7 linked regions of the Rattus norvegicus genome follow. The protein of the gene in region 7 purifies or fractionates together with the protein of the main gene of each other region. This does not show direct contact. Links are inferred from orthologs where the notes say so. Each region holds a gene or a part of one and is shown on either strand. Other genes may lie near its edges. The genes, in order: Hnrnpa1, Ddx5, Ilf2, Ago2, Dicer1, Nxf1 and Dhx9.

The links.
Region 1: the proteins of Dhx9 (region 7) and Hnrnpa1 purify together in Homo sapiens (affinity purification with mass spectrometry; 7 studies listed by BioGRID and IntAct, with this or other methods). This does not show direct contact. The link is inferred for Rattus norvegicus from reciprocal best matches to the Homo sapiens genes DHX9 and HNRNPA1.
Region 2: the proteins of Dhx9 (region 7) and Ddx5 fractionate together in Homo sapiens (co-fractionation; 3 studies listed by BioGRID and IntAct, with this or other methods). This does not show direct contact. The link is inferred for Rattus norvegicus from reciprocal best matches to the Homo sapiens genes DHX9 and DDX5.
Region 3: the proteins of Dhx9 (region 7) and Ilf2 fractionate together in Homo sapiens (co-fractionation; 5 studies listed by BioGRID and IntAct, with this or other methods). This does not show direct contact. The link is inferred for Rattus norvegicus from reciprocal best matches to the Homo sapiens genes DHX9 and ILF2.
Region 4: the proteins of Dhx9 (region 7) and Ago2 purify together in Homo sapiens (affinity purification with western blotting; 5 studies listed by BioGRID and IntAct, with this or other methods). This does not show direct contact. The link is inferred for Rattus norvegicus from reciprocal best matches to the Homo sapiens genes DHX9 and AGO2.
Region 5: the proteins of Dhx9 (region 7) and Dicer1 purify together in Homo sapiens (co-immunoprecipitation; 3 studies listed by BioGRID and IntAct, with this or other methods). This does not show direct contact. The link is inferred for Rattus norvegicus from reciprocal best matches to the Homo sapiens genes DHX9 and DICER1.
Region 6: the proteins of Dhx9 (region 7) and Nxf1 purify together in Homo sapiens (co-immunoprecipitation; 4 studies listed by BioGRID and IntAct, with this or other methods). This does not show direct contact. The link is inferred for Rattus norvegicus from reciprocal best matches to the Homo sapiens genes DHX9 and NXF1.

The regions. Positions count from the first base shown.
Region 1 is NC_086025.1:136,252,678-136,256,917, reverse strand, and holds the start of Hnrnpa1 (heterogeneous nuclear ribonucleoprotein A1), read right to left. Parts: upstream 2,801-4,240; 5' UTR 2,760-2,800; coding exon 2,745-2,759; intron 2,701-2,744; exon of another isoform or gene 2,343-2,700; intron 2,203-2,342; coding exon 2,086-2,202; intron 1,830-2,085; coding exon 1,683-1,829; intron 1,512-1,682; coding exon 1,301-1,511; intron 1,215-1,300; coding exon 1,122-1,214; intron 1,035-1,121; coding exon 942-1,034; intron 795-941; coding exon 720-794; intron 517-719; coding exon 358-516; intron 1-357. UniProt on the Homo sapiens protein: Involved in the packaging of pre-mRNA into hnRNP particles, transport of poly(A) mRNA from the nucleus to the cytoplasm and modulation of splice site selection.
Region 2 is NC_086028.1:92,223,893-92,226,410, forward strand, and holds the end of Ddx5 (probable ATP-dependent RNA helicase DDX5), read right to left. Parts: intron 1,693-2,518; exon of another isoform or gene 1,627-1,692; coding exon 1,402-1,626; intron 1,212-1,401; coding exon 805-1,211; 3' UTR 501-804; downstream 1-500. UniProt on the Homo sapiens protein: Involved in the alternative regulation of pre-mRNA splicing; its RNA helicase activity is necessary for increasing tau exon 10 inclusion and occurs in a RBM4-dependent manner. Binds to the tau pre-mRNA in the stem-loop region downstream of exon 10.
Region 3 is NC_086020.1:178,255,543-178,259,726, forward strand, and holds the start of Ilf2 (interleukin enhancer-binding factor 2), read left to right. Parts: upstream 1-1,384; 5' UTR 1,385-1,490; coding exon 1,491-1,495; intron 1,496-2,273; coding exon 2,274-2,333; intron 2,334-2,671; coding exon 2,672-2,714; intron 2,715-4,184. UniProt on the Homo sapiens protein: Chromatin-interacting protein that forms a stable heterodimer with interleukin enhancer-binding factor 3/ILF3 and plays a role in several biological processes including transcription, innate immunity or cell growth.
Region 4 is NC_086025.1:106,991,325-106,995,499, forward strand, and holds the start of Ago2 (protein argonaute-2), read right to left. Parts: upstream 2,801-4,175; 5' UTR 2,655-2,800; coding exon 2,633-2,654; intron 2,626-2,632; exon of another isoform or gene 1-2,625.
Region 5 is NC_086024.1:129,401,753-129,405,252, forward strand, and holds part of Dicer1 (endoribonuclease Dicer), read right to left. Parts: intron 3,439-3,500; coding exon 3,283-3,438; intron 1-3,282. UniProt on the Homo sapiens protein: Double-stranded RNA (dsRNA) endoribonuclease playing a central role in short dsRNA-mediated post-transcriptional gene silencing.
Region 6 is NC_086019.1:215,091,063-215,094,562, reverse strand, and holds part of Nxf1 (nuclear RNA export factor 1), read right to left. Parts: coding exon 3,489-3,500; intron 3,378-3,488; coding exon 3,289-3,377; intron 3,183-3,288; coding exon 3,075-3,182; intron 2,738-3,074; coding exon 2,628-2,737; intron 866-2,627; coding exon 829-865; intron 587-828; coding exon 518-586; intron 439-517; coding exon 383-438; intron 266-382; coding exon 158-265; intron 59-157; coding exon 1-58.
Region 7 is NC_086031.1:68,155,430-68,158,546, forward strand, and holds part of Dhx9 (ATP-dependent RNA helicase A), read right to left. Parts: intron 2,996-3,117; coding exon 2,835-2,995; intron 2,259-2,834; coding exon 2,147-2,258; intron 1,937-2,146; coding exon 1,775-1,936; intron 1,669-1,774; coding exon 1,541-1,668; intron 617-1,540; coding exon 387-616; intron 296-386; coding exon 180-295; intron 1-179. UniProt on the Homo sapiens protein: Multifunctional ATP-dependent nucleic acid helicase that unwinds DNA and RNA in a 3' to 5' direction and that plays important roles in many processes, such as DNA replication, transcriptional activation, post-transcriptional RNA regulation, mRNA translation and RNA-mediated gene silencing.

The sequences.
Region 1 (4,240 bases), on a different chromosome or scaffold from region 7:
AGTTTCTCTCAGTGGCAAGTTAGAATCGAAGGTCTTTGTGTACATATTCTAGGTCAAGACAGACATTTCTTGGATATATCAACTAAATGCCTGAAGTCCCAGCAGAAGGTAGACAATCCAGCTATGTCTCTAACTACCTCATGTGGAAGGAAGACACTAACCACTCATCCACCTACTCATTTTGGGGGAGGCGGCCCCAGCTTAAAGCCAGGAGGAGGTAGCATAGCAAGCCTATTTGCACGCACCATGCAATGTACCTACAATGCTCTAAGAGCCAGCCGTGAAGTCTGAGACGGGCATAAACCCTGGAAGTCTCATCTAGCTCCGCACCAAGTACCTGCGTCACTGGATACCTACCACTACCACCGCCAAAGCCGCCTCCGCCTCCTCCGTTGTTATAGCTGTCATAGCTGCCACTCCCGCCATAGCCACTGCCCTGGTTTCCATAACCCTGTCCACCACTTCCATAGCCTCTGCTTCCTCCAGAGTAACCAGGGCCGCCTCCTCCATAACCACCTACAAGAATACAAGTCTTCTCAATAAGACAAAAGTATTTAACAAGAAAAATCTACGCAAGTTAAATAGCTAAAGGCTGCTCAGGGCATGCATTTTACGGGGCTGACTGAACTTTGTCATGCACTAGGTTTAGTCTCTAGTAGCCTATTCTAAAGGTAGAGGTCGCCAGAAACCACTCCTTACAGACTCCTTAAGAAACTTACCATCATTGCCAAATCCATTATAGCCATCCCCACTGCCACCATATCCACCACCACCACGGCTGCCACCAAAGCCACCTGGAAGAAACCAAAGCTTTAAACCAGGCTTTGTACGTGAATGAATACTTATCAAATATCAAAACCTGTAAGTGCTGGGGACACAGGGTAGCAATTACTAGTTATAAGTTCTAAAACCAACAAGGAGCCAAACAAAGCCATACACACCACGACCACTGAAGTTCCCTCCTCGACCAAAATTGTCATTGCCACCGAAACCACCTCCACGACCACCACCAAAGTTTCCGGAACCACTTCGACCTTAAAAGAAATTTTGGATCATTAGGTTAACCTGTAATAACTAACAGTGTCCTCCTCACCCCAAGTCTAACCAAGCAATAAACACACCTCTCTGGCTGGATGAAGCACTAGCCATCTCTTGTTTCGACAGAGCCTTTCTTACTTCACAGTTGTGGCCATTCACAGTATGGTATTTCTGAACTAAGAGGAAAAATTAAATTCAGGACTTTTAAAAAAACATGTGAACTCCAGAATCATAAAGGAAAATGTAATCCTCTGATACTTACTAACAATCTTATCCACAGAGTCATGGTCATCAAAGGTGACAAACGCAAATCCCCTCTTTTTTCCACTGCCTCTGTCAGTCATAATTTCAATCACTTCAATTTTCCCATACTGCTCAAAATAATCTCGTAGGTGATGTTCTTCAGTGTCTTCTTTAATACCGCCAACAAAGATCTTCTTCACAGTTAAGTGGGCACCTGGTCTCTGAGAATCCTAAAAGGAAAAATGACTCCAGTTATTTAGTAGCAGCACATTCCTAAATGATTGACACCTGTGGTGGCACATGCCTTTAATTTCACTCAGGAGGGAGGATCTCCCAGTTGAGATCTGCCCCATTACAATCTCAGGTTAAAAAAGAACCAGCTATTAGGAAAAACCACTCACTTCTCTTGACACAGCTCTCTTAGGTTCCACAACTCTTCCATCCACCTTGTGTGGTCTTGCATTCATGGCAGCATCCACTTCCTCCACAGTGGCATATGTGACAAACCCAAAGCCTCTGGATCTTTTGGTGTTTGGATCTCTCATTACCTGTTTAGAGTTAATTCAATCAACACAGTGCCTGATCACAAAGCCAAAAAGTCATTCCTAGTCAGAGCGCTGCAAACATGAAACTCCATCCAGAGTCAGAAAATAAAAAGCTCTTTTACAGATCTTGTTAGCAAAGCTCCACAACGATGATTTTTAGTATCCCATTAATTAACTTCACAAAACATTTAGCTAAGAAGCGTCAAGGTTAAATCAGAAGAAATAAGGCAGCTCTTCCTTTTGTTTTTTTAAATCTTACCACACAGTCGGTGAGTGTTCCCCATTGCTCAAAATGGCTCCTCAGACTCTCGTCGGTTGTTTCGAAGCTCAGCCCTCCAATGAAGAGCTTCCGCAGCTGTTCCGGTTCCTTGGGGGACTAAAATAAAGTGGGGGAAAGAGGGGGCTTAGTGGAGGGCCTGAAACTTGGGCGAATGAATCAACACCATTCATCAACACACGCCACACTTTTTTATTGTTCTTTATTACTGCACAAGACCACGTGCTCCTTCCTGGGCTTGACTGGGGACTCGAGTTGCACGCGGCGCATGCGTCCTGTTACTTCATACGCAGGCGCAACAAAAGACACAGGTTGGTCTGGTCCATCGCCATTAAGACTTAGTATCTCTTTAACAAGAGATCATTAGACCAGATAGGGAAAAACGAAAAAAAGGCCACAAACCCCAGATCGTTAAGTGTAAGAATTCTGCCAAAAGGAACAGTGCGTAGAAACTAATGGCTGTCGGATCGCAGCCTCATGGTGACTATGAGGACAAAATGGCGACCTGCATTTTTTAAAGTAGGCCTCAGCAGTAATCGATCAAACACCGAAAGCACGGGAGCCAGCGACAAAACAGGTCACATCCCGTCATATTCAGTAAGTGTGGAAGAAAGCGAAGCTGCAGAGCGCGCTCAACTCACCTCTGACTTAGACATGACGGTAGGATGATGAGAGCGTTCAGCGATGCTTCCTCGCCAGCGTCAAAGAGCAGAAAGGAATAAGATAGCGAACGTGTCCGGCAGCCTACCTTCTGCTCTCCCTTTTATCCCGCCTCCTCGCTTTCGGCATTGGTAGACTCCGCCCTTGCTTCAGTCTTATTGGAGATTTGAAATTGTTCCCTCCCACCATTGGCCTGTAAAAACGCCCTGCTAAGAAACGGCATCCGTTTGGGCGTTCTACTCAGTCCCCGCCCCTTTGAGTCATTGACGCCCCAAGGGATCTTATTCTTAACCACATTGATTGGCTAGCTAGCCAGTAATTTATATTTGAATGTACTCACGTCTTTAAATGTGTTTTATACCTTCCCCACACCCGAATGTTACAAACTCACTCGGCAAAGGACGATACGTTAGAAAGTAGTTCGCCGCGACTTTTCCCAGCTATAAAGCGCATGTGTAATAAAAATGGCGAGTTTACGCCGGCGCAGTACGAAGTTCCGCCTGCTGTCTGGAACACGTGAAATGGCGGGCGGGAGAGGGATACGAGGTTCGTAGGCGCCTGCGTAGTGGAGGGACCTGTGTTCTGTTTTGCGCAGGCGTTTTGGGCGGAGAAAAGGTCCAAGCCCGGGATTGGTTGCGCAGGCGCAGGGAAGGATCCGTTTTGGCGGGCGGTTGGCATTGCGCAGAAGGCGGCGGTAGCGGTGGCTTGTGGTGCCGCTTTGCCACAGAGGAACCGTGCAGGCCTTAGTGTGAGTGATCACTTTAGATCCCGGGTAAGTGGCAGAGTCTTGTCTACCCGTACGAGATCTTGAACCTGCTCCAATTGCACCGGTTATTGTACGAAATGAATGGACCGCTGAACTGGGGGGGGGGGGGAGACGACGGTGAAGGGGCCGCGACGGGTCGGGCCAGCCAATAGGACAACTGGGGCGGGATGTTTTATCCTTGCAGGTTCGGTGAAGCTGCGTTGCCGAAGCGTTTGACTGGCGAGTGTATAGGCCAATTGGGTCTTCCTATAGCTGCCTACCAACCGGTCCTTGGGCCATCGGAATGTGGGAGGCGGGTTTTTCTTGCCTGAGTTGCGTCTCTCCGAGCCAATGAACCCCAAGCGCGCCATAGGCCGGCCTTCCCCAAGAGGCAGAGGCTGGACTCCAGTGGGGAGCGCGGGAGTCGGTAGGTTAAATTCATATAGAGCAAACCTGGAGCCAGTAGGACAGACTACTCTCAAAAAATAAAGCTTAGTCTTGCATTTGTGGGGGCGAACATTTAACTAAAATGACTCCTATAATTAAGGCATTCATTCCGTATATTACCTTAAGGAAAACATATGTTTTCTTGTACTTTTTGGTACAAAAAGTTTCACCCTTCACTTAGACTCTAGAGGACGTGCCTTTATTCTTTGGAAAGAAGAATATTAAAATTTTACAGTGAAATGAATACTTTAATGAAAAACATCCAAGAAAAATAGACTTAACCAC
Region 2 (2,518 bases), on a different chromosome or scaffold from region 7:
TAAGCACTCTGGCAAGTCTGCTAGGACTAGAAATACAAGGTAACCTGCACTAAGGACACAGTGCACAGCTCTTGGGCTAACAGTCTTTCAGCTTTGTGCATTTTGGCAGTTGACAATAAAGCCAAGAGATGGAATAAATTTGATAAAGCAAAATGTCCACTTAAAACTTCTGCAAGAGTCACCATGTTACTTATATACAGTTCCTGTCCTGTAGCTCACTCTTAAGGAAAATAGGCTATTAAACGACTTACTTCCCTGATACTGAAAACTACTGACAAAGCTTCTTATGCAATTAATCTAGAATTATAAAATCCATTGTTTCTAAATTCTTCCCATACAAAGGGCCTTCTGAGTTCCTCTCCTAAACCAAGGAATGGGAAGTAGTCAACTTTAGTTGTGTAAAAATAAACACCAAAACAAAAATCCCCCCAAAAACATACTATCTAAGCCAAGTTTTACATGACATTATATATGTAAAATAAAGTACAATTTCCACTTAATTCAGTCTTCAAATATCTTTTATTGGAAGGCCATGCATTGCCTTCATTTATTGTATTTGAAATCACTGTACAGTTACTTTTGTGAAAACACTGCCTGCATTTTCTAGTACAAAAAAAACCTAAAAATTGTTTCAGGAATGTAGAGAAATATCCAACTTAAATAGCGAAAAAAGTGCACCATAATTACTGCTGCACTGCAGTCATTTCTGCATTTCCCATGTTTCTTAAATAACTATCTTGTCTGATAACACACAATATAAAGAGCAATTATGAAAAACAGACATTTACATATACTTCTAAAGTCTTATTGAGAATACCCTGTTGGCATTGGATAGCCAATCATAGGCGCAGCAGCTGCGGTAGCAGGATATGCATATGCCTGTTGGTTCATCCCATTGTGCATATTTGCAACATTACTTCCATATTGCTGAGTGCTATCATAACCGTTCTGGTAAGTCCCTGTTGGGTTACCAGTCCTAAAACTGGTCTGTATGCCAGCAGATACAAAATTACTTCCAAAGCTCCCATTGGTGTAATTTGCAGCACTGTAAACACCATTCTGAGTTTTAGCCCCAAAATCTCTCTTAAGCAGACTAGAGTAGCCTCTGTCATAGTTTTCCCTGTCTCTAAAGGTATTAAATCCACCCCTTTTCCCTGCAGAGTATCTGTCACGACGATCATCCTTCATGCCTCCTCTACCCCTGGAACGACCTGTCAAGAAAATAAGTAGAAATTGATCACCTTACCCATGGCATAGTGTGAGATAGCTCTATTTATGCTGGGTCTTAAGATTTCTTAGTTTCAAAATAAAAACTAACTCAGTCCTTAAATCCCACTCCGTAGACGTAGACAAGAGGTGACTGTCAACAATCCCGTAACATCTCTCATGGAAGATTCTTACCTGAACCTCTGTCTTCGACCAACTGAAGCAACTTGGGATTAATTGCTTGATTGGCTTCCCGAAGCACAGAGATGAGGTCGCTCACTTGCTTTATGTTATTGGGAGTAAAGAAAGTGTATGCTGTGCCTGTTTTGGTACTGCGAGCAGTTCTTCCAATTCGATGAATATAATCCTCTGAGGAGTTAGGGTAGTCATAATTGATGACAAATTTCACATCTTCCACATCTGTAAGGTGTTGCAGTGTGGCAAAATAGCAATGTACGGAGTTTTGCACACCACAACAGCCAGACCAAAAATAAAAAGTTAGACAATTGTATTCCCAAGAAGGTACGGGCTGAAAAAAATACAGTTAAAATGGTTATCCATTTCCTGTAGGAACACCATTGAGGTAGAAAAAGGGCAGGGTAGGAAAAACAAAAAAAAAAAACAAGAAAAAAAAAAAAAGCACATGTCAGCTGTCTTAACACCCACCCACTGACAGCCTATCAAGGGAATGTGTGTTCTCCTTAGCACATTCCCAAATTGACAGTCCCCTTACAGATCATCAAGTGACATCTGAATGCTTCTGCGCAGTAGGGCCAATTAAAAGTTTCACAGCAATCTCTTCGTGTGCTCATTTTGAGGACCTTTAAACAAAAAGGTGAAGGTCCTTTGCTTTACACTCAATTCTGGCCACACTGCTTGTCTTGCCAAGACCTTACAACTGCAGCTGCAAGAAAAACATACCTGTCCCCCAAAAGTTGTTTTAATGCACTGTGTCTCGTCTAGGCAAGCGCTTCCAAGAAGCCAGGATTCACTTGAGAATGTGTCTCTCTCTGGCAGGTCTCGACATGACGACTACTGTGTAGGTGAGGGAGGAACTTTCAAGGCACTTTCTTTTCCCACTGACTATGTGTGAGAAGTTGGTCCTGCTCTAGGTCTCATGTGCCAGTACTCACCAATTTGTAAAAGGCTTAGTACCTTTTAAAGCTGCTCTCTCCATTTCATACTTGAACAAAAATTTCATTGAACATTGAAGTTTGGAAATATTTCTTCGACATTTCAGCAAACTCACTGAAACTCAAAGACCCACAGATCACAGTGAACAGTTTGAAACAATGCTGTACCATGGCAATCA
Region 3 (4,184 bases), on a different chromosome or scaffold from region 7:
CACGACAAGGTCCGGTTTAAGGATTTATTTTATGTTAAGTTATGTGTGTATATGTATACGTGCTTGTGAATACAATCCCCTAGAGGACTTTAGAGATTGACTGAACTTAGGGTTGGGGATTTAGCTCAGTGGTAGAGCGCTTGCCTAGGAAGCGAAGCGCAAAGCCCTGGGTTCGGTCCCCAGCTCCGAAAAAAAGAACTGCTGAGTCATCTCTGATCGAGCCCCAATAAAAAGAAAATCTAAAGGCAAACCTAACCCACGATAGTAGAAATCCAGTATGGTTATCTTTCTGAGATGATAAAATACTGTTTTTGTGAGGCAGGATCTCCCTATGTAGACTTACTTGGCATGGACTGGTTACCTAGAATAGTCTGACCTTGAACTCACAGAGATTCTCCTGCCGCTGCCTCCCAGGTGCGGGAATTAAAGACATGCTCCACCATGTTTACCAAAATATCCTTTAAATTTTTTTCCGTTACATTTATTTATGTTGTGTTTGTGGGTGTCACCACACCCACGGCATTCATAGTGAGGTCGGAGGACAAAATGCAGATCGCGGCTCACCTTCCATCACTGAGTCTCCAGAGGTCGAACTCAGGTAGTTGCGATTGTACCTGCCGACTCACCTTGCCGACCTGATAAAGTATTCCTTATTTTAATGAGGTTACTTAGAAGGAATAGATGCCTACAAAAGTAAATAATACATCAATACTTGTCAGAATCACCTAGCATAGGGAAGTGGGGAGGGAGGATCTGGGTGGAACTGGGGAAGAGAAATACATGATCAAGAAAAATTGTATGACAATTTTCAATAAAAAAGAATCATATAACAGTAATGATATTGAGGGAAAAAATGGTGGGAAATGGAACTATTTCTGATATTTCCGTAAGGTAAAAGTTATGTTTTCAAGTGAGGCGGCACACGGCAGAGATTGCTAAGAGTTTGATGACAGCTCAGGCTACATTAACGAGTATTATGTAAACTAGGGTGACAAAGCAAGACGCTGTCTGGAAAAAAAAGTTGGAGAAGGAAAAAAAACCCCACATCTCTTGCTATGGAAAAATTTAATTGTATTTTCACCCGTAAAAAGAAAAACAAAGTCTCCGATAGCAGAGGATGGTTTCGATCCATCGACCTCTGGGTTATGGGCCCAGCACGCTTCCGCTGCGCCACTCTGCTACCTACTGGTAGGCTATGCTTGTATTACCATAGAAGACTTTACCTGCTTACAGCCTCAAATTCTGAACGCCCTCTACTGTAAGTGGGGGAAATTGCCTCTGTCCCTGGTATGTCTTCTTATTGGTTGACTCCTTTACAGAGCATTTCCATTGGTTGCTGGGTTAACCAATAAACGCACGGGACGGAGTGAGGCGGGAGCCTATCGCGCAGGCGTTTGTTGGGACACGCCGACCCGACGTTTCTCTGTTACCTTGATTCTTCCAAGCGAAGAGCGGTTGAGTGGTCTCCATTGTTCAGGATTAAGCGAGCCATGAGGTAAGTAGACAGGGTGCTTGAAAGTTCCTGCCGTAGCCTCGAGGGATGGGGGGTTGGAGTTGGGGAGCAGGCTGAAATGGAGTCGGGGGAAGAAGGGCCTGTATCTGGGCGGCCGGCGGAAAGCCGGGCCGGAGAGAGTGGAGTAGGAGGAGGCTGGCCGACTCGGGGAATCGGGCCTGGAGGGGGGCCGGGCCCCAGCAGGGCAGTTGTGTTGATTCCTGGGTCTCGGGGGATGGAGGAGAGGTCTTAACGGACCAGGAAGATCACCCTCCGTGCGCAGTGAGCAGGCTGGAGCGCTGCACATTTTTCTGGTGCCTAGTGTTTGACCAATTGGACATGTCTCGTAACTGGTATGCTGTATTAATAAATGAGAAGTCACCTTACCCTGAATATTACGACCCGTGTGCCTCAGGATCGTGGGTTACTTAGTAGGGGTATGTATGTCAGGTTCTGAAACTCGTATTTTCCTGATGTGAGTTTTGATAAAATCCTGAATTAGAAGTGGGGTGTGGTGGCTCAGGATGCAGTCTTGGGGTGGGGGGAGGTAATGCAGGAGATACATGAGATTCCGTTTCAAAAACAGAAGAAAAAAAAGTCCAGAATTAGGATGTCATGAGAGTGGGACTGGACATCATTTGGAATCGGGGAGAAGTGAGCATGATATATCTGTCGACTTCAGTAGTTGGAGGGGGGTCAGGGTAAGTCACATTGAAATAACATTGATGGTGTGATGGAAACCTTTTTCAGCAACATGAGAGTAAAATGTATGTACTTTTAGGGGTGACAGAGGACGTGGTCGTGGTGGGCGCTTTGGTTCCAGAGGAGGTCCTGGAGGAGGGTGAGTGTGGCTGTTCACGTCTTTGCCTTGGTTTGTTTCAGTAGATAGGAGTTTGGAGTAGATTGTTCTGTTTGATTTTGTGAAAACCACTCGAAGCATTTCTTTTCCTCATGTCCTACAAAGTGAATTTGGCTTTTTGCTAAGAATGATGCAGCTTAGAAATGCCTGAATTCTTTTTTTTTTCGGAGCTGGGGACCGGAACCCAGGGCCTTGCGCTTCCTAGGCAAGCGCTCTACCACTGAGCTAAATCCCCAACCCCAGAAATGCCTGAATTCTTAAGACAGAATTCTCTTGCTTGCTTTCTGCCTGAATAATTTTGGATTGTTTTCATGTTTCAGGTTCAGGCCTTTTGTGCCCCACATCCCCTTTGATTTCTATTTGGTGAGTATTTTGGCTTTGGAGAACTTGACTGGCTACTGCTCACTTACAGGTGTAGAAGCCCAGAATCCTTGTTAATGACGTTAGATACTGTTTGGAGTAGGATTCAAGAATGGATCTGTTCTTTGAGAGTGGGTCTTCTGTATGATTGGCTGGCCTGGAACTCTATGTATACCAAGCTGACTGCAAATTCATCATCTTCCTGCCTCAGCCTCCTGAATGCTAGAATTACAGGCATTCATCTGCTGTAAGTTTTTTTTTTTTTTAAGATTTATTTATTTATTATATATAAGTACACTGTAGCCGTCTTCAGACACACCAGAAGAGGGCATCAGATCCCATTACAGACAGTTGTGAGCCACCATGTAGTTGCTGGGAATTGAGCTCAGCACCTCTGGAAGAGCAGTAGTGCTCCTAACCACTGAGCCATCTCTCCAGCCCCCCTGCTGTAAGTTTTTATTTACTTAGTTTGAGTGCTAGAGATGTGAACATGCTACATGTATACCCCATTAACTGGTTTTATTTTATTATTGTATTTATTATATATTGCAATCTACTTAGAGCTATAACTACAGGTCTAACATGGCTCTAGCAGAGGACACAAGTTTTTCCCGGTTCTTACATCGTACATAGTGCACATCTGTCTGTAACTCTGATTTCCAAGGCTCTTACGTCTCTGTTGACTTCCACAGGCTCTTGCACACAGGATGCATATACACACACTGTGGCACTCGCATATACATAAATACATATTAAAAACAAGCCAGTTCACCAGCCCAGCCAGTCTTAAAGAGAATGAAGTCCTTTTGTGATACCAGCAATGGAAACCCCAGCAATAGGACCATTGTTAGTGTTCAGGGCCAGCCTGGGCTACAAATGAACCGTCTCAATAAGAACAAAACTTAGAAAAGAGTGTAAGCAAGGCAGGGAAGATACTTTCTTTACAGTTTGATTGTAATATTTGTCTAGAAAATACTTTTTTTTTTTTTTCTTTTTTTTCGGAGCTGGGGACCGAACCCAGGGCCTTGTGCTTGCTGGGCAAGCGCTTTACCACTGAGCTAAATCCCCAACCCTAGAAAATACCTTTTTTTTAAAAAAAAATATTTTTAGGACTTATTTATTTACTTTGAGACATTGCGTGTGTGTGTGTGTGTGTGTGTGTGTATGTGTGTGTGTGTGTATAAAACCTTGGCTGGCCTGGAACTCAGAGATCTGCCTGCCTCTGCCTCCAGAGTGCTCAATGTGTATATTATACTACATGGTAGATTATAATTAGTTTCTTTCTTTCTTCATTTATGTTTGGATTTTTAAACAGGGCTTTTCTCTGTAGCCCTGGCTATCCTGGAACTCAGAAACCCACTTGCCTCTGCCTCCTGAGTGTGTGCCACCATTGCCATCTGGCTTTTTTTTTTTTTTTATCAGGGGCAGCTCTTTTTTTTTTTTTTTCGGAGCTGGGGACTGAACCCAGGGCCT
Region 4 (4,175 bases), on a different chromosome or scaffold from region 7:
TGCCTTTTCATGTTTGTAAAATCACTTCCCAGCAGAACCTTTTTAAAAGAAATCTTGTGATACATTTCCCACAATAACGATTCATAAAATTAAAAGAAGAGAGGAAAAAGAAACATTTTTATCATGCTGGAACCCCAGCCTCTTTAATTGTAAAGAATAAACCCAATGGTGTTGACAGAGAAAACTCAAAAGTTACAAAATGTTGCTTCTTAAGAATGTGTAAGTCAAAGCTTTTACATCTTTTCCCCTGAACACTTATTTAAATCCCTTCACAAGCTCCTGGGGGGAAGATTTCCCACAAGTGCTCAGCCACCCGGCTGTGCCTTCCAGCTGTTGGCAACGCTTTCCCTGCAGCACACAGGCCGCCAGGCAGCAGTGGTACCCTCAGACAAAACTGTGAATTGGGGAGGAGGGTGGGGGAAGGGGCTAACTGCTGCCATTGGAGACCACAGAGAGTAAAGCGATGATCAAAGACGCAGTCGTGATCCGCAGCTCTCAGTCGGGTTTCCACAGTCTCCGAGGTTATTTTGTAGCAAATATTCATAGGCTATAAAGCAGGAGCATCTCTTTGCAGGAGGCAAAGCTCCTCCCAGACAGTTTAAGATCCTTCGATGGGGGAAACCCCACCTAGAACCCACTATCTAGGAAATTTCAGGGTGGGAAGAGAATTTATCTACCCTAAACCACTAACCTTTTCCAATAGGAAAGAAAAATCTGTGAGGTTCTGAACCTTGGCCCCCAGTGCTACTAATCTCACACATGTAACAGTATTTGTAACAGACACAATGAGAACCCACTGTGGATTCTATTTTTAAAGTTAATTTACTAAGTATTTACTTCCCATCAAGCTCGGAAACAGCAAAACTTGGTAACTTTTCTTTAATTCAGATCCAATGGCCTTCCATTCTCCTAAACTTGGAAATATGGAGTCTCTTTGAAGGATGGAGGTGGAGGGGTTCCTTGTAAACAAAATTAAAAGCCTTTGTATGTGCTATGTGCAATAAAATGGAGCTGCACTCCAGCCTTGCAATTACAGCACACTGGCCCACCTGAAACTTGGGTTCCTTCCCAGCCTGCCATTAGCCAAGAATTACCCTACAGGCATCTCTTTTCTCACCCAAGGCTTTCTGGTTAGAGGGGACTGTCTCTCCCTTAGGCCACAATGCGGAGGCCCACGCAGCAGCAGCCATCTTCAAAGCTGCCAGTGACCAAAATGAACCGGTTGATCCAGGCTACCGCATTCTTTTTGAAAAGGCAACAAAGATGCCCTCGCGGAACACACAGTAGGCTCTTCCTTTCCACCCTACTTGGGAATTCACTGGTCTAATCCACACCAAACAAGTGCTTCCAACAGTGGGGTCAAGGTCAAAGGGACTGGGAAACCATTTCTATAGGAGTGCTCAAACAGGTTGTCCTAATGCAGGCTCCCGGATGTTAAAGGGTTCTTAAACCTCTCTGAGCCTCCACTGCCTGTCTCCAGAAAGGCCCACTGTGGCAAGCTGAAAGGATCAACACGCAAAATAGAGAAAAGCATGGCCTCGTCTCCAAGAAGATCACTAGAAACTGACACTCAGGAAAAACGTACATATTCGGAGTTAATGTTTGCTGGGTTCCTCCACAGCGCTGAGCTGGGGGGGAGGGGGGATTCCCAATCTGGCAGGAGGCTGCCCTGGTCATTTCGCAGGGGACCTCCAGACCCCAACATCTGCCTCCAGGACCCGGACACCTCCCAAGCGCAAGGTTAAAAGGGTCTTCAAATTACTGGGAAGCCCTTTAACGCATTTAGAAGTTGGTCAGTGGGCATTCGAGGAGCCCTATGACATCAGGAGAGGAGGCGCACTAGGCTCCGGAGCAAGCACCGTAGGGAACCCGGGAGGATCTGGGAGGCTTCCAGACCCCACAGTGAAGAAGTCTGGGGAGGCCCCAGGGCCGAACCACTAGGTCAGGTGGGCAGCAGGGAGGGCCCGCGGGCGCCAAGTACAGCCTGGCGGACAAAGGGGGGCAGGCTGAGCCCGAGCAAGCGGCGGGGCGGCCGGGAAATGGAGCCACGTGCCTGGCGGGAGAAGGCGAAAAAGCCTCCCAACACTTGTTTTCTCAACCCCGCGAGTAAACCGCCCTCCACTCTGCTCGAAAAGCGGGGTGGGAAAATACGTTCGTGTTTTTAAGTTTTCTGGAACTTTTCCAGAGAAACGGGCACGCTGGTGGGAAGGGGTGCCACGGCGGCCACCCGCTCCGCTAGGAAATCGCAGGGCGATTAGCACTTGAATGGGGAGGGCGGCTGCCCAGCGTGGAACTGCGTCCAAGCAGACGATCGCGGTCCCGGGGCCCCGGGGTTCGGTTCCCGACCCGTCCAGCTCCCCGCCCCAGGCCCCGCATGCTGGGCCCCACAGCTATGCGCTTGGGGACAGAGGGAGGAGCGCTGCGGGAGGACCGAGACCCGTTGCAGGCCGGGCCTGGGCCCCCAAACACGTCCGGGCCGCGCTGCTCCGGTGCACTGGGCCTCCCTGCCCCGAGGCCCTACCCGGCTGCCCCGAGGCTACGCCGCGGCCCCACAGGCTGGGCCGCCCTCGCCTGCCCCGCCCGCCAACCGCCAACCGCCGCGGCACGAGTGCCGGGCGCCGCGCGGACTCACCGGGGCCGGCTCCCGAGTACATGGTGGCGCTGCCGAGGGCCGCGGCCGAGGGCCGGCCGCGCGCTCCACGGGCCCCGACGCCGCGAGCCGCGAGGACCCGCCGGCCGCTCGATCCGCCCCGGCGCGGCCGCCTCGCAGAACAGGTTTACCCGACGCGGCCGGGGCGGCGGGCGGAGGCGGCGGGAGCGGAGGGGGAGGGGAGCGGGAGGAGGGAGGGGAGGAGGAGGGGCGAGAGGGACGACGAGGGAGGGGACCGCGGGGAGGGAGGGAAGGAGGGAACAGCGGGGAGGGAAGGAGGGAGGAGGCGGGGAGGAGGGAGGGGACGGCGGGGAGGAGGGAAGGTGGCAGGGAGAGAGGGGGCAGGGGAGGAGGCTGGAGGCGGCGCGCGCACGCGGGGCAGCGGGATGGGGGGAAATCGAGGTGGCGGCCCCCCGCGTGGTTGCCCTGAATGAGGGACCCCAGGAGCGACCCGGGGCACACGGGCGGGAGACCCTTCCTCCGGCCCAGCGAGGCGACGTCTGGCTTCCGGGCGCGGCCAGCCCAGCACTGCGACCGGAGTCGGAGTCCTCCCGCGCCGAGTGGCAGAGCCCCGGCCGCGTCCCGCCCCTGCACCTCGGCCTGGCTCTTTAAGTTATTAACGAAACGGCGACGGGAAGCTAGCTCCCCACCCAGAGCTTGAACTTGGACGCGGCCAGACCCGTGCGCGTGACCACACCGCCACCTCCCGGCGCGGCTCGACAACCTAGATAATCCTAATAAAGCACCAAGGAAGCACAGCAAGTTCAAGATGAATTTTATCAGCCGTCAGGGAGCAGATCTAGTCGGGGCTCCCCGCTTTCTGGGCTCAGAACCCCCAAGTTCTGCCCTGAGGCCTCCCAGACGAGCATGCTCTGTGCACATAGGCCCTTTCCCCACTTGTTGCTGGCACGTGCTCCCAGTTGTCTCTGGCACCTTTTCTATAGAAGAGGCAGTGTCAGCTCCCGCCTCACCCTGTACGCTTGACAATGCCTTCAAAGCCCATGCTGAGGACCCAAGCAAACAGGGTCCTACTGCAGGGACCCCAGCATCGGGGTAGGTTCCATAGCCTGTGCAGTGCTCAAAAAATAGTCCGAGGAGCAAGAAAAGCAGCGTTCCTTCCAATAAACATGGAAAGGAGGAGAAGGAGGAGGAGGAAGGAACTAGATAAAGAACTGTGGGGTTGCCATCCCAGCTACTCAGAAATCGAGGAAGGAGGATGACAATGCTAAATCCAGTCTAGGGTACATAGAAGAAAGCCTTGGGTACCCCTTCCTCCTAAGTGGTCGACACAAACGGGTAATTAATCATACCTAGCCCTTGTGGCCAGCACTTGTGGTCCCCACTGCTTTGGGATGGAGACAGGATTTGCTGAACTCAGGAGAGATTTTTGCTCAGAACCAGCCAGGGCAACAGAAAACTAATGGGAGGGGAGGGGCCGTGTTAGATTTTACTCAGCAGTAGAGCACTGTCTGAAGACCTATGAGACGTTGGGTTCCCTCCCAGCATTGACACCCCCCCACACAAA
Region 5 (3,500 bases), on a different chromosome or scaffold from region 7:
ACAGAGCTGCTGTTTTAAAGGGTTTGAAACTCAATAAAAGCAAGGGTCATGGATAATTTCAAATGACAACCACAAATACTAAAAGGCAACTTTAAAAATCATGGCCATTTGTTTTCAATTAACATAAAATAAGTTATTTAATCATATAAACAGAGTCAAACATGCTCTTTGAATGTTCATTTTCTATGTTATAAAATGACCTTTATCCAGTATAAATCTGTAGAGAAGAATTCGGAACAAGGATAAAGTTAAACTTGATGTCCGCCATGCAGAACGTCTGTGAGCAGCCTGACTCTGAGGACAGAAGAGCCCTCTGGTGCCCTCACAGGCCTGCCTTCCACTTGGCTATCGGCATGTGAAAATGTGGTTGCCTGACTTTCAAAGCAACAAAATGAAATCCCAGATGTAGAAAAAGCATTATCTTTTCAATTAAGAACATAATATAAAAGCAGACAAAATTATTTCTAAAAATCTTTACCACTAAAAACTGTAGGAGGGTTTTACAATAGTTTTTCTTTCTACTTCCACACTTCAAACCAAAAAAACATTGGCTACAATGTAAAATTAAACTGCTTTGCTTTAAAAATTAAAAATAAACATGATCACTGAAAGAAGGTACAAATTTGGGAAATTCTTCTTCCACCCTCTGTTCTGAGCCCTGGTACTCAGGATCCTAGCAGGCTGACAGAACAGAAGAAAATTTAGACTAACATGAAACACAATAATCTCAGTTCTGTCAAAAATCTTTGCTAATTCCAACTTTTCTGGCAAAAGCTTGTTTGTGACTGGCAACTTTAATAATGGGCTGTGATTCGCCAGTGAGGTCATCTTCTGCAATGCTAAGAAGTGCAATGTCTGCAGTGCCACCAAGACGACACATGAACGCACAGCACCACCACTCTACTCGGGCAGGCGCAGGACAGCAAGCTTCAACTTTGATTGAAACAACTTTCCAGAATATTGTGACAAAACCCTTTCAAACTATTTTCCATTTGATTGTAAAACAAGGCATACGTTTCATTTTAAACCAGACTCAAAAAAGATAGAAATTGGGTGTTTGTTTGAAAAAAGAATATCTGAGTCTAGCCTTGTAATCATATGCAATCAATAAAAAACAAACAAACAAACAAACAAAAAACCACCAAAAATCCATTTGAAAAATACAAAATACCAAACCATCAACTGGGGTCCAAAGGGTGGCTCAGATATTAATAATACCGACTGCTCTCGCCAGACCATCTGGGTTCAGTTCTCAGCACCAACATAGCAGTTTATAACCACCTCTAATGCCAGATCCAATGCCCTCTTCTGGCCTCTGCAGGTACCAGCATCTACAAGGTGCACAGACATGCAGGCAAAGCACCCAGCTAGTGGCAAATCTCAGAAAACTATATCCTGTCAAAACTTTTCAGTTTTTCCAAGATAACATGAGTGGCCTGGAACTCACTGTGTAAACCAGGCTGGCCTTGAACTCAGAGATCCACCTGCCTCTATATCCCAGGTGATGGGAAAAAAGCACGTGCCACCATATCAGCTTTATTATTTAGGCCTTAAGACAAAATGGCCAAATTTGAATTATTTAGCCTGAGGTTTTAAACTGCAAAGCTTCTGCATAAGTCATGTTTCTGTAACATGGTGCTGCCACCCAGTGATCCTGGGCATTTTATGTCCCTGGCACTGTGCAGACTCTTCATTTTCACAAGGAGGAGTTATACTTCAAAAATGCTGTCCAAAGCACAAGCATTTGAACAGAGTGCGCACGTGTATGTTGTATGTGTGCACGTGCGCTCTGTGTGCCTGTGTGTGTCTCAACAGTACTGTCTACCTGAGCTGCCCTCACTCTCTCTTCTAGGAGGCATTCAGAGACCCAGGTATGACCTAGGGGCAGACACTGGAACTGGAAGGACACAATCCACAACCACCCTGTGACTTGGCAGTAATTGAGTGTGTGGAAGGCAACGGATGAAAGCCTGCACCGTCTGGTAGTGCGTGCTAGGGACCGAAGTGCTGAGTCAGCAGAGAAGGACAGAAAGCAGAAGTGAACGCTGTAACCTGTAAGTCAGGAAAGCCCTGGTGCCCAGGTGTGTCACTGCTACCTAAAGGATCAAATATACAAACAGAAGATGAGGCCTGCTGGACTGTTTTTTGTAGAAAGTACAGACTTTTTCTAAGGTAAAGTCTACACTTTTCTAAGGTATGTGTGTGAATGTGTGTATAGACATATGCAAATGTGTGTATTATAAATTAATAACAGGGCTGGAGAGATGATTCAGTGGTTAAGAGCACTGACTGCTCTTCCAGAGGTCCTGAGTTCAAATCCCAGCAACTATGTGGTGGCTCACAACCATCTGCAAAGAGATCTGATGTCCTCTTCTGGTGTGTCTGAAGACAGCTACAGTGTACTTATATATAATACATAAATCTTTAAACAATAAAAAACTAAAGAATAAAAATAAATTAATTATCAAATATCATCCTCAGACTTAATTTGCATTAAAATATTCTTAATGATCTCCAACTAAACTGAATTTCTGTGGTAAGTCAAATCCTACTTGAGTTACAAATATACTCAGCACGCAGGCCTACATCAGTGCGGCCTCAGAGACCACATCACCTACAGACACTCACTGAGACAGAAACATCAGAAACTAAAAGAAATGGTGTTACCATTATCAGCCGGAAGTAAAAATGAAATGATGCAAGCCCATTTATCATCAATACAAAATAAATCTGGCAGGCGGCGATGCCTGAACAGATGGGTACTTCAAAGTACAAGACAACTCTCCCAGCTGCCCCCTGGTGGCTTCAGGACAAGACAAAGGAAGCTGTGGCTACTGAAGAGAAATCTCCAGTCTTTCCGGTACACTGCAGCCTTCCCACATGGCGACTGCTGTCTAGTTGGCAAGTGGACACAGTCCCAGGCTAGCACTGCCCAAGCTAGTCCGTGCTGAACTGAATTCTTCCAGACACAGCCTGGAGATCACAGGTCACTGCAAAGTCACTTCAACAGATGGCTAAGGACACACTGTAACGTGAGAGTGACGGAACCTGAGAGGGCTCTGACTTTATTTTTAAGTGGAAACATAACAGAAGTTTATGCCTCTGGAATGGGGGTGGGGGGGAGCAGAAATCACACTGCACGAAACCAACGCTGTTTCTGAAGCCGTAGATGGCCTGCCAACACACGAAATATCTACTACATGGTAAACACACAGCACAGAGAAAACAAGGACAAAATTCTTCAGTCAACAAAAACAAAAAAGCTGCATGCTGAGAGCTTACCATTTCATCCTTTTCCCATTTCTCTGAGTTACTTTTGTCTTGGTTTACCACATAACCAGGAGGAAGCCAATTCACAGGAGGATCAAATATCGACACCACCATGCGGCTGGGCAGTCCCTGCTTCTTGCCAAGGCGGTACAGGTTACAGTTGCTGACCTGGGCAGAAGAGGCATAAACGCTTACCCATAGACAGCCACGGCGGGAAATACAGCACGCCA
Region 6 (3,500 bases), on a different chromosome or scaffold from region 7:
GGTATCTTTAATCTTCTTCACATTTCTGCTGTCATTGAAGTATTTGGCTAAGTTGTGTCTGGAAAATAAGAGGGAATGATGGTGGTGGTCAGATCAGTGGCCTGTATCTCCCAAATAATCTTTTGGTTCTGGATAGGTTCTGACATGTGACACTTACCGGACAGGGTTCTGAGGGTTGGAAGGAGTGCTTAGCGAGCAACAGGCGCCATCATGGTAGGCATCCAGAAGACCCTGGCGGTCTCCTGAGTCATAAATTGCATAGTACCTGTAAGGAAAGTTAAAGAGTCTGAATTCTGTGTCTGGAACCAAAAGGACACATATAGCAGTGAGTACGCACAGACCAGCCATTATCCCCAGCACTAAGGGCTCCTGGGAAACTTACTGCTGCAAGAAGTGCAGGACCAGACTCTTTAGGTTCTCTGTTCCAAAATAGCTTCCCTGAAATCAAACAAGATGTTAGGGTCACAGGACCAGTATGTATCCGACACACAGCTCTAATTCTAAGCCCAATTCTGACCTTGCAGGGTGGTAACATAGTAGGGGCTTCGACATCAAAGGCAATTGGAGGGGGTAGCTCATGGCCATCCTGTAAAAAGAAGTGAATGTAACATGAGAAACAGAACAAAGACGGGATTTGTAAGCATACAGAAAAGCTAAAGCATGGAGAGTATACAGGGATCCTATATAAACTTTGTCAACAAGCGTTTCTAGGATGATGATTTCCACTGTTAGCAGATTCTCAAAGAAATCTCCACACCTACATGGATGGTCACAAAATAGAGGCAAGACCTTGGCTGTCCTTGCTACTGAGAACAGTATTAAACTTACCAGGCGTAATAACTTGGGAAATCGTTCGCGAATGGTGCTGTCAAGAACGGGACAGAAGTGAGAGACGCTTCAGAGCCATCATGCCTCCTGGGCTGCTCTAGGAGCAAATACACCAAAAACCCGAGGAACAGCCCATCCCATCCTGTACATCGCCCCCTCCTCCCCAGCTTAAATTAAACTTGGGGACAAGAACACCCATTCCCCTCCTCACCAGGGGCACCCCTTCTGAATTGCCTTGAAGGCTGACTTTGTTGTCTCACTGCCTGATCCCAAGTGCCACAGAAGGACACTCTCAGCCCAGGCTTTAAGCCTAGGGCTGCCTTCCCCACCTTTCCCCCCTTACCTTCCACCTACTCACCTGTGCAGCCCCGGGAGGAGGGAATGGGGTGGGAGCCCAGGGGCTCTGCTGCCTCACCAGGTATCCACCAGTTCTGCCAGGTCTGGCCTTCGCCAAGACCAGAACACACCACAAGTATGGCACGGGATGTTGGGGCAAGGAGATGAACAAGACAGGGCTCAAGAAGAAAGGAGGAAAGAAAAGAGACCAAGGGAAAGAAGAGAAATGGAGAAAGGTAGGGCAAGGACAAAAGAGAGATGGAGAGACAAAGAGGAAGTAAAGCAACAGGGACAGACCTGAAGGCAGAGGCATTCAGAAAAGAATGGTAGAAAGAAAGACCTCCTGATACAGCCCTTTCCTTCAGCTGCCCCTTTCCTGTGGTCCCAAGGTAGAAATGGAGAATAAGTCCTATAATGGTTTGCAGTTGCTGTTGGCCAGGTCTCTGTCTGCTCCATGGGTCCCGGTCTGAGCTGGGCGTGGGAGGTAAAGCAGCCATGGGGTCAGGAGACCTCCCTCAGAAGGGTTCAGGCCTCTGCCGAGTTGGGGGGGTGAGGGTCTGTGCCCCACCTCAGTTGGCCCCCAAGTTTTCTCCTGATGGCCCCTATGCGACTGTGCCTGTCTTAGGTTGTTCCTTCCCTGAGGAATCTTACCCGTCTCTGGCTAACCAGCCATCTCCGGGGCCAAGCAGGGTGACGTGAGGTGTGCGAGTGAGGGAGGAGCCATGCCCCTGACAGGGTCATTTCTCTGTCTCCTTGGTAGCAGATGCCCCTATGGCCTCCACGCCCAGCATTTGCCTTGGGATCCCCTCACCTGCTGGCGGGGTCCCTGGCTTTGGTCACATCTTAGGGAACCCAGGTTTCTTCTCCAGGAAGGGCCCAGTTCACAGCACTAGGCAAGAGAGACCACTAGCATGGTGCCAGCCTGCAAGAGGCACCAACCTCGTCATGGGCAGGAAGGACCAGGCAACAGCCCTGGCTAAGTGTGTCATGAAAACAGAGTCCCTCTTGGTACAACGGCAAGAGGGACCATCGAAGGGCAAAGGAAGGAAGGCCCATCTCAGTAAGAGAGGGCTTTCTCAGTCTGAGTACTCTAGGCTTTTGGCTGAAGACAAACACACAGGTAGGACATATATAAGACACCTCCACATCAGAACAGAAAAGAAGAGGTATCCTTCCTGGAATAACAGGTAGGGAGATTCTAGAAAAGGCTGTGTTCAGGAAGGAAGGAGAAAGGCCAGAGAATCAGAATATAGTAGTCAGGTGAGAAGAAAGGAGAGGAGATCTAGGACAAAGCTAGGAGACATTGACAGGCAGAAAGGAGTACGGGATCCTCCTCCCAAAGGACAGGTGGTTCCAGCTCAGGGCTGCATGTTCTCCTGTAGACGGGTACTGGTCAGGGTGCATTAGCTCAGCCTCCCAGGGGGTGAATGTCCCCAGGAGGGGAGACAGAGGCTACAACTGACCTGATATAGGTGGACTGGTCTAGGAAGGTGTCACACATGGGGTTTCTGTCAAGCCACAGCTCTTCCAGCTTCAGCCCTTTTATCTTGTCTAATTCCCACTCGGACTTCAACTGTGAAGGATGAGGGAAGAAAAGAGGCAGGAAACGGACTTTACTAAGGATAGCAGCTGGATCCCCATGTTTCCAAATACAACCTAAGTTTTCTTTCTTGCTTCCCACCATGGCCAGCCAAACTGTTCTCGCTCTCCACCACCACAGAAATACAGCCAAGGGTCAGTGTGATGGCTCAGTGGGCAGAAGCTCCTGCCTTGTGAGCATCTCACAACCCAAGTTCCAGTCCAAGAACTCACAGTGGGAGGAAGGGAAGAACCAACTCCCATACAGTCTGCCTCCACCCATTCATAACCAGTAACCATTAAACCAAAGTACCACTAGGGATCCGTCTTACTTCGTTTCCAGAGAGATTCAGGATCTTTAAGTTTGGTGCCTTCTGTACAATGCTGGACATGTCATCAAGCTTGTACAGCCTGTTGTTACTCAAGTTCAAAGACAATAGCTGTGAATAGAACAAAGTTTAGATGTGTTACCACAAGGCAAATTTGTCCCTCATCCTATCCTACCCATCTCACTCTGCTTTCTAATGCAAAAAAAAGAAGCTTCACCTCAGGAATGTTCTCTTCAATGATCCTCAGGGCGGCTGCCATACAGCCTCTACGGTTTAGAACAACATCGATGTTCTGGGCCACCAAATCTTTAGCAAGCAGGAAAAAAAAGGAAGTCTGAGAGGGCTTGCTCATACCAGTGTTATAAAGACCAATTGTCCCCCTCTCCATTTAGTCAGGATCATTGCTGTCAGTCATACCTGGGTCTGAGC
Region 7 (3,117 bases):
ATTAACAGTACCATGCAGCATATACCTTATAAACACACCTCAAAAATGACCAGGCCTCAGAGTGAAACTCTTGCATATACTAGACTAGCAAGATCTCCAAGGATTATTACTAAACACATTATTCTAAGAAATCTTTATTCTAAAAATTCAGTTTGAAGATTACAACTGAAAGGCCCTACCAGTCATCTATAAACACGATCTGACCATCAGACTGGACTTTCTTGGAGGCAAAGAGAAGTAATTGTAGAGGGGTCACTAAGGTCATGCCTTTAGCAGAGATGGCTCGGGTTCGAATCTGTAGATGGAGAAAATGTAAAATGTCACACACTGATGGGTCATTAGTCCTATTATAACTCTGAACTTTCAGACTTCCCTAATCCTCTTACCTTTTCACCAAAAACAAAGAAAGGAGATGGGTACTTCATGTCTTGGCTGCTAAAAGGACAGTTCACAGAAGACTTGTGGATAAGTGCATTACGACCTTCAGTGGTAAGAATCTTTCTCTTCTCTTTATGATAGCATACATTGGGGTACACACCAAAAGCCAGCAAAGAGATAACAACATCCAAATTATTATCTGGTCCAGTGTTAGTAAACACTTGTGTCAATAAACAATCTGTTAAAAAAAATAGAAAAATGGTTTGTAAAGATTAGATAATAGCATGACTCAAAGTCCTCTGATAACTTTCTCAGAACTTTACAATCAAAGGTTATCAGCTGCTCTTATTACTAGCAGAGCAGATGAAAAGACAATCCAAGAAGTCACTGAAAGGATGGCTGTCTTATCCAAGATACGCCTTAGCAATATTTCCATTTCCAAATTAAAAACCTGTCACCAATATGCTTAAAGCCTCAATATTAGATCTATGTGAACAAACCTAAATAACTTAAGCTGTTATTAGCAATAAAGCAGGATAATAGCTTCATCTTAAGATCATTAGAATAGGGCTGGAGAGATGGCTCAGCGGTTAAGAGCACCCGACTGCTCTTCCAGAGGTCATGAGTTCAATTCCCAGCAACCACATGGTGGCTCACAACCATCTGTAAGGAGATCTGATGCCCTCTTCTGGTGTATCTGAGGACAGCTACAGTGTACTTATATATAATAAATAAATAAATCTTTAAAAAAAAAAGATCATTAGAATATTCTGAACATACAGATTTTTCCCCTTAGATTTTTTTTTTTAAAATCTGTCAGTTCACAAACAAAACAAAAAAACTACTCTAATTCAATTTGTAACCTTTAAAAATTTTAGTTTCTGGTACTAACATATCCGGTTAAGTATGTTCAAATAGCTAAGAATTATAAGCAAATATTCTTCAGCCAATGTACCTGTAGTTTATCACAATGGCTCACAAACTATCTTTTTTTTGGGGGGGAGGAGCTTTTTGTTCTCTATTTTACTGAGAAAGGATGTCACAAATTAATTCAGGCTGTCTATCTTAAATTCTCAGTGATTTTATTCTGCCTTTAACCTCCAAGATCTAGAGTTAACAGAATGAGACACAAAAACCAGTTTATAAATAGAAGAGGGCTTACCTTCTGGAAAGCCAGAGTTAATCAGTATCTCTTTAAGCTGTACTTTGGCTTCCCAAGTCATTCTTAGTGTAGCCATATTTAGTCTCTTCTGCTCACAAAACCGTATTTCTGCTTCTTCTCCACTCATCCTAAAACAAAACAGAAAAGGCATTCATTCTCAAAGGCTTAGCAAACTAAGTTACAAATTCAGACAAGCTCACTAAATTCTCACAGGAATTGCCTTTAAATTCCTACCTAGCATCATCCCAGGCTTGGAATACTGATAAAAGAGCCACATGATCAGAAAATCTGTTTCCAGCAAAATTCCGATGTATGTACCCCAAGCGCTTCCCTTCACTGATAAAGGGCTCTGGAAAGCAGGTAGCAGCAGAGATGGTACAGACAGCGTCTCCCACACTGAAACAACAGCACAACAGCAGTTAAGCCTTTCTGTGAGAAGACCTTCAAATGTGGACTGAATACTCTGTTAGCTAGGATATAACAACTAATATTTACTATAAAAGTTTATACTATAAAGGTTTACTGTAAGTTTTTTTTTAACCACCAACCCACCTTTGCCTTTATTAAGTCCATTTTATTCTGAGTAACAAAAACCAATGAACTTACTAGAAAATACACCCCATTATCATCATTTTTCCAAAACGAGGCTCAATGGGGAGTTTAGCCAGGATTCGTCCAAGAGGAGTCAACTCATCATTGGCATCTAAAGCATCAAGTTCTATGGGAAAATACATACTTGTGAGTGATGTCAATAAACAGGGTATTAGTGTTTAATTTTACGTCAAGTTAAATATGAAGTCTGGACCAAACACTGGAATAGCCAACACAGAAGATGCTATAAAGGTATGACCTATGATGCAAATTGGGACTACAGTCACTGATATAGTAGCAACATCAGCATTAAACACACACACAGCCCATAAGAATCAGAATCAGAATCAGGTGAGTTCCAGATTCCAAGTTCAATGCAGGGCCATCTGAGCTCAATGCCCTTATTTTTCACAAGGCTACATCACTTTTATAACAAATTTGAGATTAGAACAAAACAACCCAAACCACTAAGACATATATTTAAATATTAAATATAGGTAAGGAGTAATTCATGTTCTGGTGGATTCTCTATTCCCTTAAATGTTTATTTAATGAGATCCATTTATGCCCCTTCATCCCACAATTTCCTTGTAGAAATACATGCTGCATAAAGCCTAACATGTTAATCTCCCACCCCCAGTCTATATCTGACTTGTTAAATAGGATTTGTTAAGTAGGTAAAGACAAAGAAAGTATCACTTACCTCTAAGAGTATGCTCTGCTTCAATTACTGCATCCAAAGGTGGAGGTTCAATTGCCTTTGCAAGGAATTGGCCAATTCCTCCTAGGCGCAGAAGTTTTATGCTCAGAGCAATTTCATGCAATGGTGTTCTAAACATCTCTGGTGTCATGTGGGTCTCCAGTCTAAAATTTAGAAGTAGAAAAGTCAAAGGTGATAATAAAAACCTTTGCACAGACAACTGTGTATATAGTAGCCCTTTCCTAGTCTACAACTTTTCCTATTCACTATAAAACTAGTCTAGCTG